Linked DNA regions of Drosophila melanogaster. The protein of the gene in region 2 binds, or shares a complex with, the protein of the main gene of each other region. Each region holds a gene or a part of one and is shown on either strand. Other genes may lie near its edges. A codon is read from its position in the direction of its gene.

What was found. Proteins that work in one complex are often made in the same cells at the same time.
Region 1: the proteins of tub (region 2) and pll are in contact, whole or in part, in a crystal structure (PDB 1D2Z), measured with the Drosophila melanogaster proteins. Residues at the interface, in NP_001189164.1 of Drosophila melanogaster: Ile47 (codon at 5,768), Glu50 (codon at 5,777), Asn51 (codon at 5,780), Cys53 (codon at 5,786), Lys56 (codon at 5,795), Ala139 (codon at 6,044), Glu140 (codon at 6,047), Leu141 (codon at 6,050), Phe142 (codon at 6,053), Ser143 (codon at 6,056), Asp146 (codon at 6,065), Arg160 (codon at 6,173), Asp163 (codon at 6,182), Gly164 (codon at 6,185), Pro165 (codon at 6,188), Gly166 (codon at 6,191), Ala167 (codon at 6,194), Leu168 (codon at 6,197), Ile169 (codon at 6,200), Ser170 (codon at 6,203), Leu171 (codon at 6,206), Glu172 (codon at 6,209); in NP_001263008.1 of Drosophila melanogaster: Arg35, Val62, Lys63, Leu64, Tyr65, Gln68, Gln71, Glu85, Asn88, Ile89, Trp90, Gly91, Gly92, Gln93, Tyr94, Asn95, His96, Gln99, Thr100, Phe102, Ala103, Leu104, Lys106, Lys107, Leu125, Tyr128.

Annotation. Positions count from the first base shown.
Region 1 is NT_033777.3:27,251,583-27,255,182, forward strand, and holds the start of pll (pelle), read right to left. Parts: upstream 1,601-3,600; 5' UTR 1,376-1,600; coding exon 1,056-1,375; intron 998-1,055; coding exon 332-997; intron 269-331; coding exon 1-268. Other genes in the region: TfIIA-L (transcription factor IIA L), read left to right, coding at 2,020-2,043, 2,946-3,146, 3,434-3,442, 3,508-3,600. UniProt on the Drosophila melanogaster protein: Plays an essential role in the Tl receptor signaling pathway that establishes embryonic dorsoventral polarity; the signal directs import of dl into ventral and ventrolateral nuclei, thereby establishing dorsoventral polarity.
Region 2 is NT_033777.3:4,382,301-4,392,698, forward strand, and holds tub (tube), read left to right. Parts: upstream 1-5,441; 5' UTR 5,442-5,629; coding exon 5,630-6,092; intron 6,093-6,158; coding exon 6,159-7,084; 3' UTR 7,085-7,513; downstream 7,514-10,398. Other genes in the region: Cont (contactin), read left to right, coding at 1-517, 570-2,255, 2,591-2,757, 2,821-3,693, 3,750-3,918, 3,980-4,113, 4,169-4,462; CG14646 (uncharacterized protein), read left to right, coding at 8,126-8,758, 8,811-9,407; CG34112 (uncharacterized protein), read right to left, coding at 9,808-9,948. UniProt on the Drosophila melanogaster protein: Plays an essential role in the Tl receptor signaling pathway that establishes embryonic dorsoventral polarity; the signal directs import of dl into ventral and ventrolateral nuclei, thereby establishing dorsoventral polarity.

The DNA of each region.
Region 1 (3,600 bases), about 23 Mb from region 2:
GAACACCTCCAACAGCACAATGCCGAAGCTGTAGACGTCCACGCCCGTGCTGAGTTGTCTGAAGTTGCGGAACTCCGGTGGCAGGTAGATCTTAGTGCCGAAAACTTTATTCACTTCCACCACAGCGTCCAAGGACTTGGGACCCTCGCGCACCAGACCGAAGTCTCCGATTTTTGGCTGCAGACATTGGTCCAGCAGGATGTTGGCCGGCTTAATATCTCCATGAATCAGCGGTGTGCCTCGCGCCGTGTGCAGAAAGTAGATGCCTCTTTTGGAAACGAAATGAAAAGTTAAAGAAGATTGATAGCACTAAAGAAACGATAAATCCCACCTAGCCGTGCCGAGGCTGATGCTAAACCGCTGCTGCCAGGTGAGTGCTGGTAGTGGGTTTTGTGCCTTATGCGCTCGTAAACGAGCCTCCAGGGAGCCGCCCTTCATCAGCTGGTAGACGAGGCACGGCTTACCACCTTTGATGCTGTATCCGTAGAGGGCCAGGATATTGTCGTGCCGGATGCTGTTTAAATACTTGAGTTCGTTGTAGCTCTGCTGCAGCTCCACCATTTTCTGGTCGATGTTGGGACTGCGGTAGTTCATCACCTTGATGGCCACGTCCAGTTGCTTCCATTTGCCGCGGTACACGTCTCCGAATCCGCCCTGTCCCAGTCGATTATCCGGACTCCAGCCGTCCGTGGCGTTTTCTAGCTCCGCATAATCGATCTCCAGCAAGGATTCGGCTGCCCGCTGTACGGTGCTAATGTGTATATTGCCCAGGGACTCCAGGCTGGGTATCTCCTCCGTTGCCGTTGTGCTGGTGCGATTGTTGTTTGAGTTGCTGACGCCCGAGGAGGAGGGAAACGGCGGGCCGTTGTTTACTTTGGCACTGGAATCGGGAGCAGCGCGCAGCTCGCTGATGGTGGGCACGCTCCTCGGTATGTACTTGTGCAGATCCTCGCTAACGTAATCTTTGATCAGACGCATGGCGTTATGAAGCTTCAATCTAAAGTAAGAGGAGTCATTTCTGGGATCTCGGCGGTTATTATCTCAAACTGACTCACTTTTTGAACAAAGCAAACAATGTTTGCACCGTGTGATTGTACTGACCGCCCCAAATGTTGAGGAACTCATTGGAGGCTGAGCGGCCACGCTGCTTCTGGCTGCTTATCTGCTCCACCTGGTCGGGATAGAGTTTTACGGCCGTGGCCAGCTGTTGCCATACGTCTAGGGCATCCAAGTGGGCACATAGCTGGGCTCGCACGGGCAACGGCAGCAGTCGGATGGCCATTGTGTTGTCCAAGTGGGAACGCGACCTGGTCCTGTTGCCATTCGCTTGGTTTTGGGCCTGCGCCTCGGCTTCGGCGGTCTGGACGCCACTCATCTTTCACTTATGGGCGGGCGGTTCAACCGGTTGCGACTGATTCATGCGGCTCCGGATGCAAGAGTGCCCGTTGGATGAGGGGTTGGCGGCGCTGGTAACCTGTTGCAGCGAAACGAAAATCGCTTTTGGGTAAATTCCCAACGCGATTCGATGAAAACCTGTGGATGACTTGTTAACAGCGGCGCAACAAGTGATAAAGCAGCTTAACAGAGCGAAGCAGTCTGGCAACGCTGCCAATGTCTAGCAAATAATACACTCGAAAAAGTGGTAGATGCTTAGGAGCCACTGTTTAAAATTCAGAAGTAAAAAGAAAGCAGAGTAATTATTAAAAAGGTATTTGCTGTATGAAAATATTAAATAGATTTTAAATAACCTCCACATATTTTATGTAATTTGCACAGTATTTTGTATACTAAAATATCTTAAAAAATACCAAAGGCAATTAGTGTATGACCAAATGAGCCTTGCAGTTTGGCGGACATGCGTCGTTTTCAAGTGCCCCGCAGGTGGCCACACTGCTGACACCGTCACGAACGCATCGCTATCGCTAATTCTTCGCTTCGCCCATTTATAATTCAGCAAATACGTCAATTAGCCCCACCAGCGAACGGAAAAGCCTCAAGCTGGCGGAGAAAAAGGTCCAAATGGCGCTATGCCAGACATCGGTGGTGAGTGTGCGGCTGGATCCCCGAGATCCGGTAATTGTGTCAGCGGCGGTGGCTCCATTGCATTCGACATATGGAAGGCATCCTACCAAGGAGTTTCTCCATTTCCTCCAGCTTCACCTCCTTCCGCCGCCCACGCGGGAAAGTGAAAGCTTTCCCAGTGGTCATGGTAGTTACTACAAAACGATAGTTACAACTGCTGAAATCCGAGATACCAAAACTGCAAACCTCTCGGGTGTGGATGTGTGTGCATGCGAGTGCGTGTCTGTCTGGATGTCGCTGTGTTAGTGCGTTCGTTGCCTTGCAGTTTTGTATGTTTCTTGCCCTCTGGATTTTCCGATTTTCGGCTTTTCCGCGTAGTACTTCAAACTCCCATGGGGGGTTATATTTAGCAGTAATACACGCTGCGTAGCTTGTGCTATTATCTACAAGTCGGGGCCTCCTTCCTTATCGTCCGCTGATAACGCAAAACAAACTATTAATAAAACAAGCAACTGGCATACCGGTGTATATATATGTACAATGTACATATATATATATACCAGCATATGCATGGTATCTATGTACATATGTGCACTGCGACATTCTTCGCAAACAAATAATTTACATACTTTATTTGCGTTTTGCATATTCACATTACAGCTGCGTCTGAATTTTAATGGGAGCTCAAAAAGGCTCACCACATACTGTGCGCCACATTTTCAACTTCTATAGCGTCTTGCCCTTTACTTGCTTCGTGGATTTTTTGCGCAATCCCTATTGTTTTACCCCCAACTGTTTAGGCCCTAATAGCGTGAAGTTGAGCCGCGATAATATAATGAGTGTTTAAGTCAACACAAGCCCAGATTTGTCGTGCATTTCAAATTTAATTATACACAATTAACCGCATCCCCTCTCGCCCGCAGCTGAAGGTGTACCATGCCGTGATCGAGGACGTCATCACAAATGTGCGGGACGCGTTCCTGGACGAGGGCGTCGACGAACAGGTGCTGCAGGAGATGAAGCAGGTCTGGCGCAACAAGTTGCTTGCTAGCAAGGCCGTCGAGCTGAGCCCGGACTCCGGCGATGGCTCCCATCCGCCACCCATCGTGGCCAACAATCCAAAGGTAAGCGAAACGGAGCCCTTGGGTGGATATTCTCATCGCGAATCCTTGTGTCTGTCTAACTTAACGTAGAAGTCCATACAAATTGTGATATCTTCATCCCAAAAAAAATTTCCAACTAAGATATCTTGCTTTATCTTTCTTATGCTCCACCACTTGAACCACTACAATGCAACGCGCCTCACCAACAACATCGACTAATGCGCTGCTCTTTGCACATCATCAAAATCCATTCAAAAACCCATTCATTTCCATGCGCCCTTACATCCAACCGCACGTTTCGAATGCAGAGCCACAAGGTAAAGCCATCTGTCTGCGGGAGAATTTCCAAAATCAAGTTCACTAATCCTCTATTCATTTTCAGGCAGCGAATGCCAAGGCCAAGAAGGCCGCCGCCGCAACCGCGGTCACATCACACCAACATATCGGCGGCAACAGCTCCATGTCCTCGCTGGTG
Region 2 (10,398 bases):
CAGTACGACCCCTTTAATCGGAACAGCATAGGTTCAGCAGGTGTCAGCTACCGGGACGCCTATACGGATGAAGATAACTTTTGCCCGGAGCACTGGGTCTCGTTCAGACAGACGTGCTATCGCTTCATCCGCTCGCCCAAGCGCAACTGGGCAGAGGCTAAAAAGATCTGCAAGGCACACAATGCCGACCTGATAAACGTGGATAATGTAGAGAAGCACTCGTTTATACTCAAGAATCTCATCCTGCAGAATCAACGGCAGAACCGATTCTTCATCTCCGCCCGGCAAACGGGCCCGTTGAATTGGGTCAACGATGACAACACCCAGTTAGTCCAGATCGAAGACTCCTTTTCCATGGACGAGCAAGTGCCCTTGGAAAACGAAGATCTGCACGACAATAGATTCCTTGTGCAAAACGACCTCAACAACCAAAATATCAATAATCCAAATCAGTTTTACAACTCTCTTCCGGGGACTGTTAATCAGCGCAATCAAAATAACCTTCGCGGCTTTATAGGCAAGTTTCACTATTTAAAATTGTCGATTTGCTAAACATCGTTTCCTTACAGGTCCCAACCAGCCGTATGGAGACAACCGATATGTGCGCGATCGCGTTGTGTACGCCTTCTCAAAGAAAAGGGATCGGTGGATGTTCATGCCAGCCTATGAAATTGAACTAAATCTCTTTATATGCGAGTCAAAAGTACTATACAGCTCAGACAATGTCAACATAAAGTTAGACGACAAGCGTCCCTACCATTATGGACTCGATATAAACGACATGGAACGGATTCCACGGGGTCCTTATTTCGTAAAGCAGCCAAACGACACGACTTTCGATGTGAACAAGAATCGCCTGATTAATGATGTTACTCTTAGCTGTTTGGCCAACGGGTATCCAACACCTTCATACACATGGTACCGAGAGGTATACGTAGACGACAGACTCGAGTACCAAAAGATTGATCCCCTGGCGCAGGATCGATACACCATATCAGGAGGCAACCTGATTATCTACGAGCCGAAGCAAGCGCTGGACCAGGGCGCGTATCATTGTGTGGCAGAAAACAAATTTGGGCGAATTCGATCCGAAAGCGCGCATTTAAACTTCGGTTTCATTATGGAATTCAATCTAAAACGGTCTGCGGAGACAAGCGAGATGAATTGGGGCAAATCCATATTCTGTGACCCCCCGCAGCACTATCCCGACGTACGCTATTACTGGGCTCGAGACTATTTTCCTAACTTCGTGGAGGAAGATCAACGCGTATTCGTCTCCCGCGATGGTGCCCTATACTTCTCCTTCATAGAAACTGTGGACAGAGCCAACTACTCGTGCACCGTACAGACCCTTGTGTCGGACACCGGTCGCAACGGACCCTTCTTTCCGTTGCGCGTTACCCCCAACAGCAACTATCAAGCACTGATATTTGCCAACACCTTCCCTAAAGTCTTTCCGGAGGCGCCAGTGGCAGGTGACGAGATTCGGCTGGAGTGCATGGCCTTCGGTTACCCCATTCCGTCATACAATTGGACCCGCCAAGGCCTACCTCTCCAACGCAACGCCTACACGATCAACTATGGGCGTGTCTTAATAATCCAAAATGCGACAACGAACGACAACGGCGAGTACTCCTGCACGATTACCAATCCCCGGAAGACACTTATGAAGAGCATATACATCAATATTCAAATGCGCCCACAATTTACCATACCTCTTAAAGACATGATAAAAGACTACAACAGTGACGTGACTTTCATTTGCGAGGCATTTGCAATTCCGGACGCGAATTACACGTGGTACAAAAATGCCGAACGACTCGACCCAGCGAATATTAATCGCGACCGATACATTATCCAAGACAATGTGTTAACCATTAAATTTCTAGAAAAGGATAAAGACGACGCAATGTACCAATGTGGTGCCCAAAACCAACTGAAGACCTCCTTCTCTTCGGCGCAGCTCCGAGTGCTGTCTATGAAACCGTCCTTTAAAAAGCATCCCCTTGAATCTGAAGTCTATGCTGTTTACAACGGCAATACGACAATTGTGTGCGACCCGGAAGCCGCTCCACGCCCTAAGTTTCAATGGAAGAAGGATGGACAGGTGATTGGCTCGGGAGGCCACCGGCGCATTCTGCCCAGTGGTACCCTGACAATATCACCCACGTCGCGGGACGATGAGGGCATTTACACATGTATTGCATCAAACCAAGCCGGCACCGACGAATCGCACGCGCGTGTTATTGTATTGCGTAAGTAGAAAATGTCATTCATATGCAATATACATTTTTTTTAAAAAGTAATTTTATTTTGTCAAAAAACCTACTTGTGTTTCCTCAATTGGATGCAAAATGATTTTATTTAAAAAAGTTAATTTATATATAGTTTATAAATAATATATATTTACTTTGATAAAACGCATTGTTTAGAGAACTTTTTTAAAATTGTTTTTAATGCACCTATCTTTGTTATTGTCTGAGTAGCATAGTAAGAGTAAAATGACTAATACATAATAAACTAATTTAGTATTTAAATACTTGAAATTTTATCAAGACTTATGTAAACCTATTTATTCAAATATTTACAGAGGAAATTCGTTTCATTGAAACGCCTCCACAACGAATCGTTTCTAAGGAACACGACTTAATCTTCTTGCATTGCGAGGCCGCCTTTGATGAACTCCTCGACATTGCTTATGTTTGGAAACACAACGGCGAAGTCCTAAAAAACAATCACGACGGCACCGGACGCATTGTAAGTTAATGTTCTGAAATCTGCACTAAACCTGTCCTTATATTAACCTTTTTGTTATTGCAGATTGTAGATTGGAACAGATTGACAGTGCATAACACGAGCATGCGCGATGCCGGGGACTACGAATGCGTTGTCAAGTCGGCGGTAAACGAAATTAGCAGCAAGACCAGTGTTTCTATTGAGGGAGCTCCTGGCGCTCCTGGTGGTGTTCAAGTCATACAGATAAGTAAAACGAAGGCCATCATTGAGTGGGTGGACGGATCGCACAACGGTCGTGCGATCCGCTACTACAACATCCTAGGCCGTACAAACTGGAATCGCACCTGGGTTAATGTGTCGACCCATGTGCAGGCGCGAGAAGTAGATCGATACACCTCTCGCCAGCAAGCCGAGGTTGTCAATCTGACGCCGTGGTCGGCTTACGAATTTAGTGTTACTGCTGTAAACGATCTGGGAATCGGAACGCCCTCGGCCCCCTCGCCAATTTACAGCACCTATGAGGACAAACCATACATAGCCCCGAGGAACGTGGGTGGTGGAGGTGGAAAGATTGGCGACCTAACTATCACCTGGGATCCGCTTCTACCGCAAGAGCAGCATAGCCACGGCATACACTATAAAGTGTTTTGGAAGCTCAAGGGAGCCATTGAATGGGCATCTGACGAAATAAAAAAACAGGATCACATGGGCGTGGCTGTGGTTAATATTCCTCTTAATAACTACTATACGGAGTACGAAGTCAAAGTCCAAGCCATTAACAGTGTTGGCAAGGGACCGGAGAGTGAAATAGCTGTCATACACTCCGCTGAGGACATGCCACAGGTGGCTCCTCAAAAGCCCATTGCGCTCGCCTACAACTCCACATGCTTTAATGTCACTTGGCAACCTATAGACATGTCCCGTGAAAACATTCGTGGCAAACTCATTGGCCACAGGGTATGGTTACTGCACTTAATTCCATTGCATTGTCAAAAACCCTTATCTTTCACCAGTTGAAGTATTGGAAAACGACGCACCAGGAAGAAGACTCGGTATACTACCTGTCACGTACTACAAGGAATTGGGCGCTTATCGTAGGTCTACAACCAGATACTTACTACTTTGTTAAAGTCATGGCTTACAATGCTGCAGGTGAAGGACCTGAAAGCGAACGCTTTGAAGGTGTGTAACGAACAGTTTAAAAAACCATTTAAAGAAAATGCTTAAACACCATGCTTTTTAGAACGAACATATAGAAAGGCCCCGCAAAAGCCGCCATCTTCGGTTCACGTGTATGGAATAAACCCGTCTACCGTGCGGGTTGTTTGGAGATATGTTTCACCTTCGCAAGACGAGGAACCAGTAGAGGGTTATAAGGTACAACTCCCGGCACCGTGACCAAGAAAATCGATTACAGTTTGAAACTTTCTAGGTTCGCATTTGGGAATCGGACCAGAACATGATTACGGCCAACAATACCATAGTGCCAATCGGACAGAAACTGGAGTCGTACATCAACAATCTGACGCCAGGGAAGAGTTACAACATGCGAGTCCTCGCATACAGCAATGGAGGAGACGGTCGCATGTCCAGTCCAACTTTACACTTCCAGATGGGCAAGACCACGCGCAACGGCGCAAATACCCGACATGGCCACAATATCAATACGGCTCTTATCTTAAGCACATTGCTACTCATTAGCACCTTTCTTTACACAAGCCAATGAATGCAGCACAAATTAAGATCCATAACTTTAGGCAGTAAGAACATACATATACTAAGAAGTGACCTTATATTTGAGTAAGTGAAGTTATAAAAAGAACTACATTCCATCCGTGCTCTCTTGCAAGCCCCTTAATTGATACAAATGCAATTCCGTCCATTTTATAGACTTTTATCAAAAAATAATTTCTAAAATTTTATCAACAAAATAAATATGAATACCATTATATGGTCCAGTATGTTGCTGAACTAAAAATAACAATATCCCTATTTTTTTACTTGGAATAATGAATTATGAATTAATTATGAACGTGTGCCCCGGTTGGCCATATTTATGTCCCTTTTTGTTCACCTGGTAATACTACTCCTGCATTTTATACCCGATACTCGTGAAGTAAAAGGGTATACCAGACTAGTTAAAAAATATGTAGCAGGTAGAAGAGGTCTTGATCAGGATCGATCTGGCCATGTCCGTCCCTATGGACGTCGAGATCTCAGAAACTATCACAAATCAAAATTAATTATTGTCCAAAAATATCAAAAAGAACTAAGAACTAAGTGTTTATTTTTGGTTTTTCGATTATTTATTTTGCTGCTATTTCATCGCCCGCGTAAAACGGGCGGACATGGCTATATCGACTTGTCTGTTTTTACTGATTAAGAATATTTAATACTTATATATATGTATACGTAAATGTCTATTCGAATTTCCTTTCTACCAGGTACCCGGTATTCTTCTACAATTACAAACGAAAGCCATCTATCGGTGGGGTTACATTTATTGCTCACAACGCCGGAATATGTCATTAATGAAAAAAAAAGTTTGGTTTTTTCTTACTTTGCGTTAAAAATTAGTGCAGTATTGCAAATGGCTAGCTATTTTCCGCATACGGAAATACCACACAATACCAATCGGCTTCGGGAATCCCCCTAATATTACATGACGAATCTAATATGGTGCTGCGGTCCTCCTCGGTCACACTGAAATACTGCGAGCAGCGAGCAGTAGCTGTGGGCATTGGCAAAAACATAGAGAGAGAAGATAGATGCAAACATGGTTTTATAGCGGAAATCTCATACAATCGCACTGGACATCTGGGAACTTGAACCATCGACCTGCCACAGGCAAAGGCTTTCCCGTAAGGTTATCCTGGGTAGCTAAGGGAACACCATGGCGTATGGCTGGAACGGATGCGGAATGGGCGTGCAGGTGAACGGAAGCAACGGCGCCATAGGTTTATCCTCGAAGTATTCTCGCAACACGGAGCTGCGACGCGTTGAGGACAATGACATTTACCGGCTTGCCAAAATACTAGATGAGAACTCATGCTGGCGCAAATTGATGTCGATCATACCCAAGGGCATGGATGTGCAGGCCTGCAGCGGAGCCGGATGCTTGAATTTTCCGGCGGAAATCAAAAAGGGATTTAAGTACACTGCGCAGGACGTGTTCCAGATTGACGAGGCTGCAAACCGACTACCGCCGGACCAAAGCAAGTCGCAGATGATGATCGACGAGTGGAAGACCTCTGGCAAGCTCAACGAGCGGCCCACGGTTGGGGTATTGCTCCAACTTCTGGTGCAGGCAGAGCTCTTCAGTGCGGCAGACTTTGTGGCACTAGACTTCCTAAATGGCAAGTATGACTATGTTTGCCTTAAACTGACAAAACTAAAAAAAGTGTATCCACTGACTTCTCTAGAGTCCACCCCTGCCCGGCCTGTTGACGGTCCCGGTGCGCTCATAAGCCTTGAGCTGCTGGAAGAGGAAATGGAAGTGGACAACGAGGGGCTGAGCCTCAAATACCAGTCAAGCACTGCCACTCTTGGGGCAGACGCTCAAGGTAGCGTTGGCCTGAACCTGGACAACTTTGAAAAAGACATTGTGAGGCGGGACAAGAGTGTGCCCCAGCCGTCAGGAAACACCCCTCCCATAGCGCCACCTCGACGACAGCAAAGGAGTACTACTAACTCCAACTTTGCAACATTGACAGGCACCGGAACTACGTCGACGACCATCCCGAATGTGCCCAATCTGACAATTCTCAATCCCAGCGAACAAATTCAGGAGCCAGTGCTGCAGCCACGACCGATGAACATCCCCGATCTGTCTATACTCATTTCGAACTCTGGTGATTTGCGGGCAACTGTGTCGGACAACCCAAGCAACAGAACTAGCTCAACGGATCCGCCTAACATTCCGCGAATCACTCTTTTAATTGATAATTCTGGAGATGTAAACTCTCGACCAAATCACGCTCCAGCGAAAGCTTCAACGGCTACCACATCAACGGCGAGCTCAAACAACTTGCCAATGATAAGCGCCTTGAATATAAGTAAAGGCAGCAGGGAGACCTTGCGTCCTGAGAGCAGAAGCAGCTCCAGCAGCTTGAGCAAAGATGATGACGATGATAACGATGGTGAGGAGGATGGAGAGGAAGAGTACCCAGATGCCTTCTTGCCAAATCTGAGTAACTCAGAGCAGCAGAGCTCAAACAATGACTCCAGCCTGACAACGGTTACTGGCACCAGTGGTGATAACAGCTTTGAGCTAACCAACGACTCCAGCTCCACCTCAAACGACGATTACGCTTGCAACATTCCAGACTTGAGTGAGCTGCAGCAATAGATAAAAGCACCGACCATCGGCGGAGATGACATTCCGTTCGATAACTTATGCAACCCAGATGTATTCATTTGGCAGCTGGGTGTGGACCTTCTTATGTTATGCATGAGGTCCAACTAGAATCTAAGATTCAGTGCACGATTTGTTCATATCACGTCTGTAATCGTGACAGTACATGACAAGTACGGCAATATCAAATATTTCCGTTTCAAGAAAGCCATAACCCAATACCAAAATTTAACAAATTTTGTATACTTACGAAATACTCCTTCATTTTCTAGTATAAATTTCCTTAAACGCATAATGGGTTTCTGTGACAGTTTTGTCTTGGGACAAACTGCGATCTTATGACATTTTTCGTTATTAATTGATTGTTGCCTAAAATATTTCACAAGTACGATATAATGGCTAAATACAAATAAAATATTTTTGAAAACATTGTCTGTTTTTCTCGACGTTCATACTGATAATATACCACATGACCGCTTAAGTCAAAGCCTTTTTCAGGGCTGTAAGTTCAAGAGTTTAAGGCGACTGTTTTTTCTCGGTGAAAAAACTTTAGGTTTTTCAAATGAACGAATGCATTTTGTATGTAATTTTTGTACTATTTTATTTATGTGCACAGGTTAGTTTCGTTTAGTTACTAAATTAATACACTGTTGTCCGTTCCAAAATGTACACTTACCTTTCTCCTCGGATGACATGTCCATTGCCTTTTCCGTATAACTGCAAATTTTTGATTTTAATTGTTTTATTTTTGTTGTTCGAAACAGCAAACAGTATTACTCCACATTTGCTCTAATGCCCCGTGCCCGTGGCACGCAGAATAGTCGATCTTCAAACTGCTGACAATTAAAAATGTCTCGCACCTTGTTTTTATTTAAATTCTCATTTGCTATGGCGGGCGCGGTACGATATTGGTCCCGTGCTATCGCGTACCATTCATAATATCGATATCTTAAGAACAATAATCGGGAATTTGTTGGACACCTCTAGTGTTCGACGAAACCACTGAGCCAAACAAAATCCGAAATTATTCGCAACATGGACGAGTCGGAGCTGCTATTCAATCTGTTTTATATTCTGTTGTGCATGGTGATCATCTACCCGCCAGAGGAGTTCCAACGCCTGGGATTCACCATTGAACAGTTGTTCGCTCGGTTCCTGGGAGAAGAGTACCTGGACTTTGTAGGCTACCACCAGCGCCGTACTTCGCTGAATCTCTTCGTGCACTCCTGTCTGCCCTTCTCCTACTTTCTTATTCATAGGCTCAAGTTCTCCGTCTTCGCCACGCAGGAGCCCTTGGAGGACTTCGACCTGGACCCGGATTTCCCCATGCCCCAGGAAGCGGTAGCGTTTAAAACGCTTACGTGGAAAACCGCCCAGCGGTTCAGTGTGTTGGCCGTTCTGGCGATGCCCGCTCTGATCTTCAACTGGCACCAGGAAAACTGGCGTCGGCACCCGATCAGCAAGGCGCTCTCCAAGTACTCCATCACGCCGGGCAGCTACAGTGCCGTGGCTAGCGAAATTGGTATAGAGTTCCGGCAACCGGAAATATACAAGAAGAAGCTAAATTCCATTAGCTCGGTGATTGCCACGCAGAACTGGATAATAAAAACCACCATGTACAATGTTCACTTCGCCCATCAGAGCAACACGTCGCTTAGCGTAGCTAAGGTCAGTGGTACACGATTCCTTTGTATGTGCGACCCTAATATTTTGTCCGCAGGCAGAAACTTACAACATATCGCATCAAGACCAAAACGACACCTTGCAGATGATAAGCATTATTGTACGGCCAATGAGGCAGGGTGTGAGCGACTTCCACATACGAATTAATGCCCTGGAGTTTAGGAATCTAGAGAACCGAGTCCGACGACCAATCGCAATTCCCTCCAACATTCAGTTACACCGCAATGTTATAGACCGTTTTGTGGACGTCTTCAAGGCGCAAGTCGCCCAAAATCCCATTTTTCCAGATGATGCTACTACGGAAAAGTGTTTTGCCTGCATGCTAAACGAACCAAACACCAAGATCCACAAGCAGTGTGCCGACTTTGATCGCAATGGCGCTCCCTTGGCGAACGGGGCGTGCTGCTCAAACTGCTACTGCCGGCCCATGTGGTGTGTAGAGTGCCTAGCGCGCTGGTTTGCCGCTCGCCAAAGTGACGTGGATCGTGAGGTGTGGCTGGAGCAGAAGTGCACATGCCCAATGTGCCGAGCCAAGTTTTGTGTGCTTGATGTCAGCTACATCACAACCACAGTCGATGCAACTAACAGTACTCAGAGTCAAGGCACCGAAGAAGATACTAATGACACCACGTGATTTATGACTGTTAGAGATTAAAGGACTCTTAAATCGAACCTGGTTCTTTATTGGTCTTATTTAAGTGTAATCATTTTCAATACAGTAAGACGTACAATTATATAGCTATAAACTTATAAATATGCATAGTAATTAGTGCACTTATCACTTTTTAATACTTTAACAATCTAAGCAATCCTAATATTTTTATTTTACTTAAGTACAATTGATCTAAGCATAGACAGAAAGAGTGTTCATATGAGAAATATGCCTTAATATGCTCTGCATAGGAAACCTGTAGTGCAATAAGTCCACTATCTAAATGCGTTTTATTTTCTTTGTCCTCTCAATCTGATAAAAAAGGCGTCATGCTAATTTATATACATGTGCATGATAAGTAATGGAAATACATATTAAAGATCTATAAATTCGTTTCGTAAACACTTTTATAGCTCTCAACCTGGTCACGTTGGCTTCTTGTCTGATTAGCTGCAGGCGTCATCGGTCCTGTCGCAGGGTCGAGGCACTTGGATATTGTGCTTTTCGAAGTGCAATTTGAGACCTTAAATAAAATAGTCATTAGTTAGTCTTTTACAAGAAACTGTTGTGTTTCTATTTCAAGCTTTATAGTAGCTTTCATTTCAAATTTTAATATTTTAATATTGGCGGAAAAATGTGGCATTTGATTTCTTAACGAAGAATAAGATATATTTTAATAGCGCATTTTCAAACCCATTGAAGGTAAATATTTGTATACCTTCTTATAAAACACCAAAGTAAAATTGCATCGCTTTGGAATAAATAAGGTAAAATAAATAACATTTCTAAATATTATGGACATTTTACGATTTGAGATGTGTTTGAGTAAAAAATGGCAAGACAAAAAATATTTATTAAAGTGCCGGCATGACTGTTTTGGTCAGTACATATGCACACTCAACTTTCAAGCATTTGTATTTCCCCTGATGACTAGACACCCATAGGGATAGGGACATGGCCATATCGACTCAGC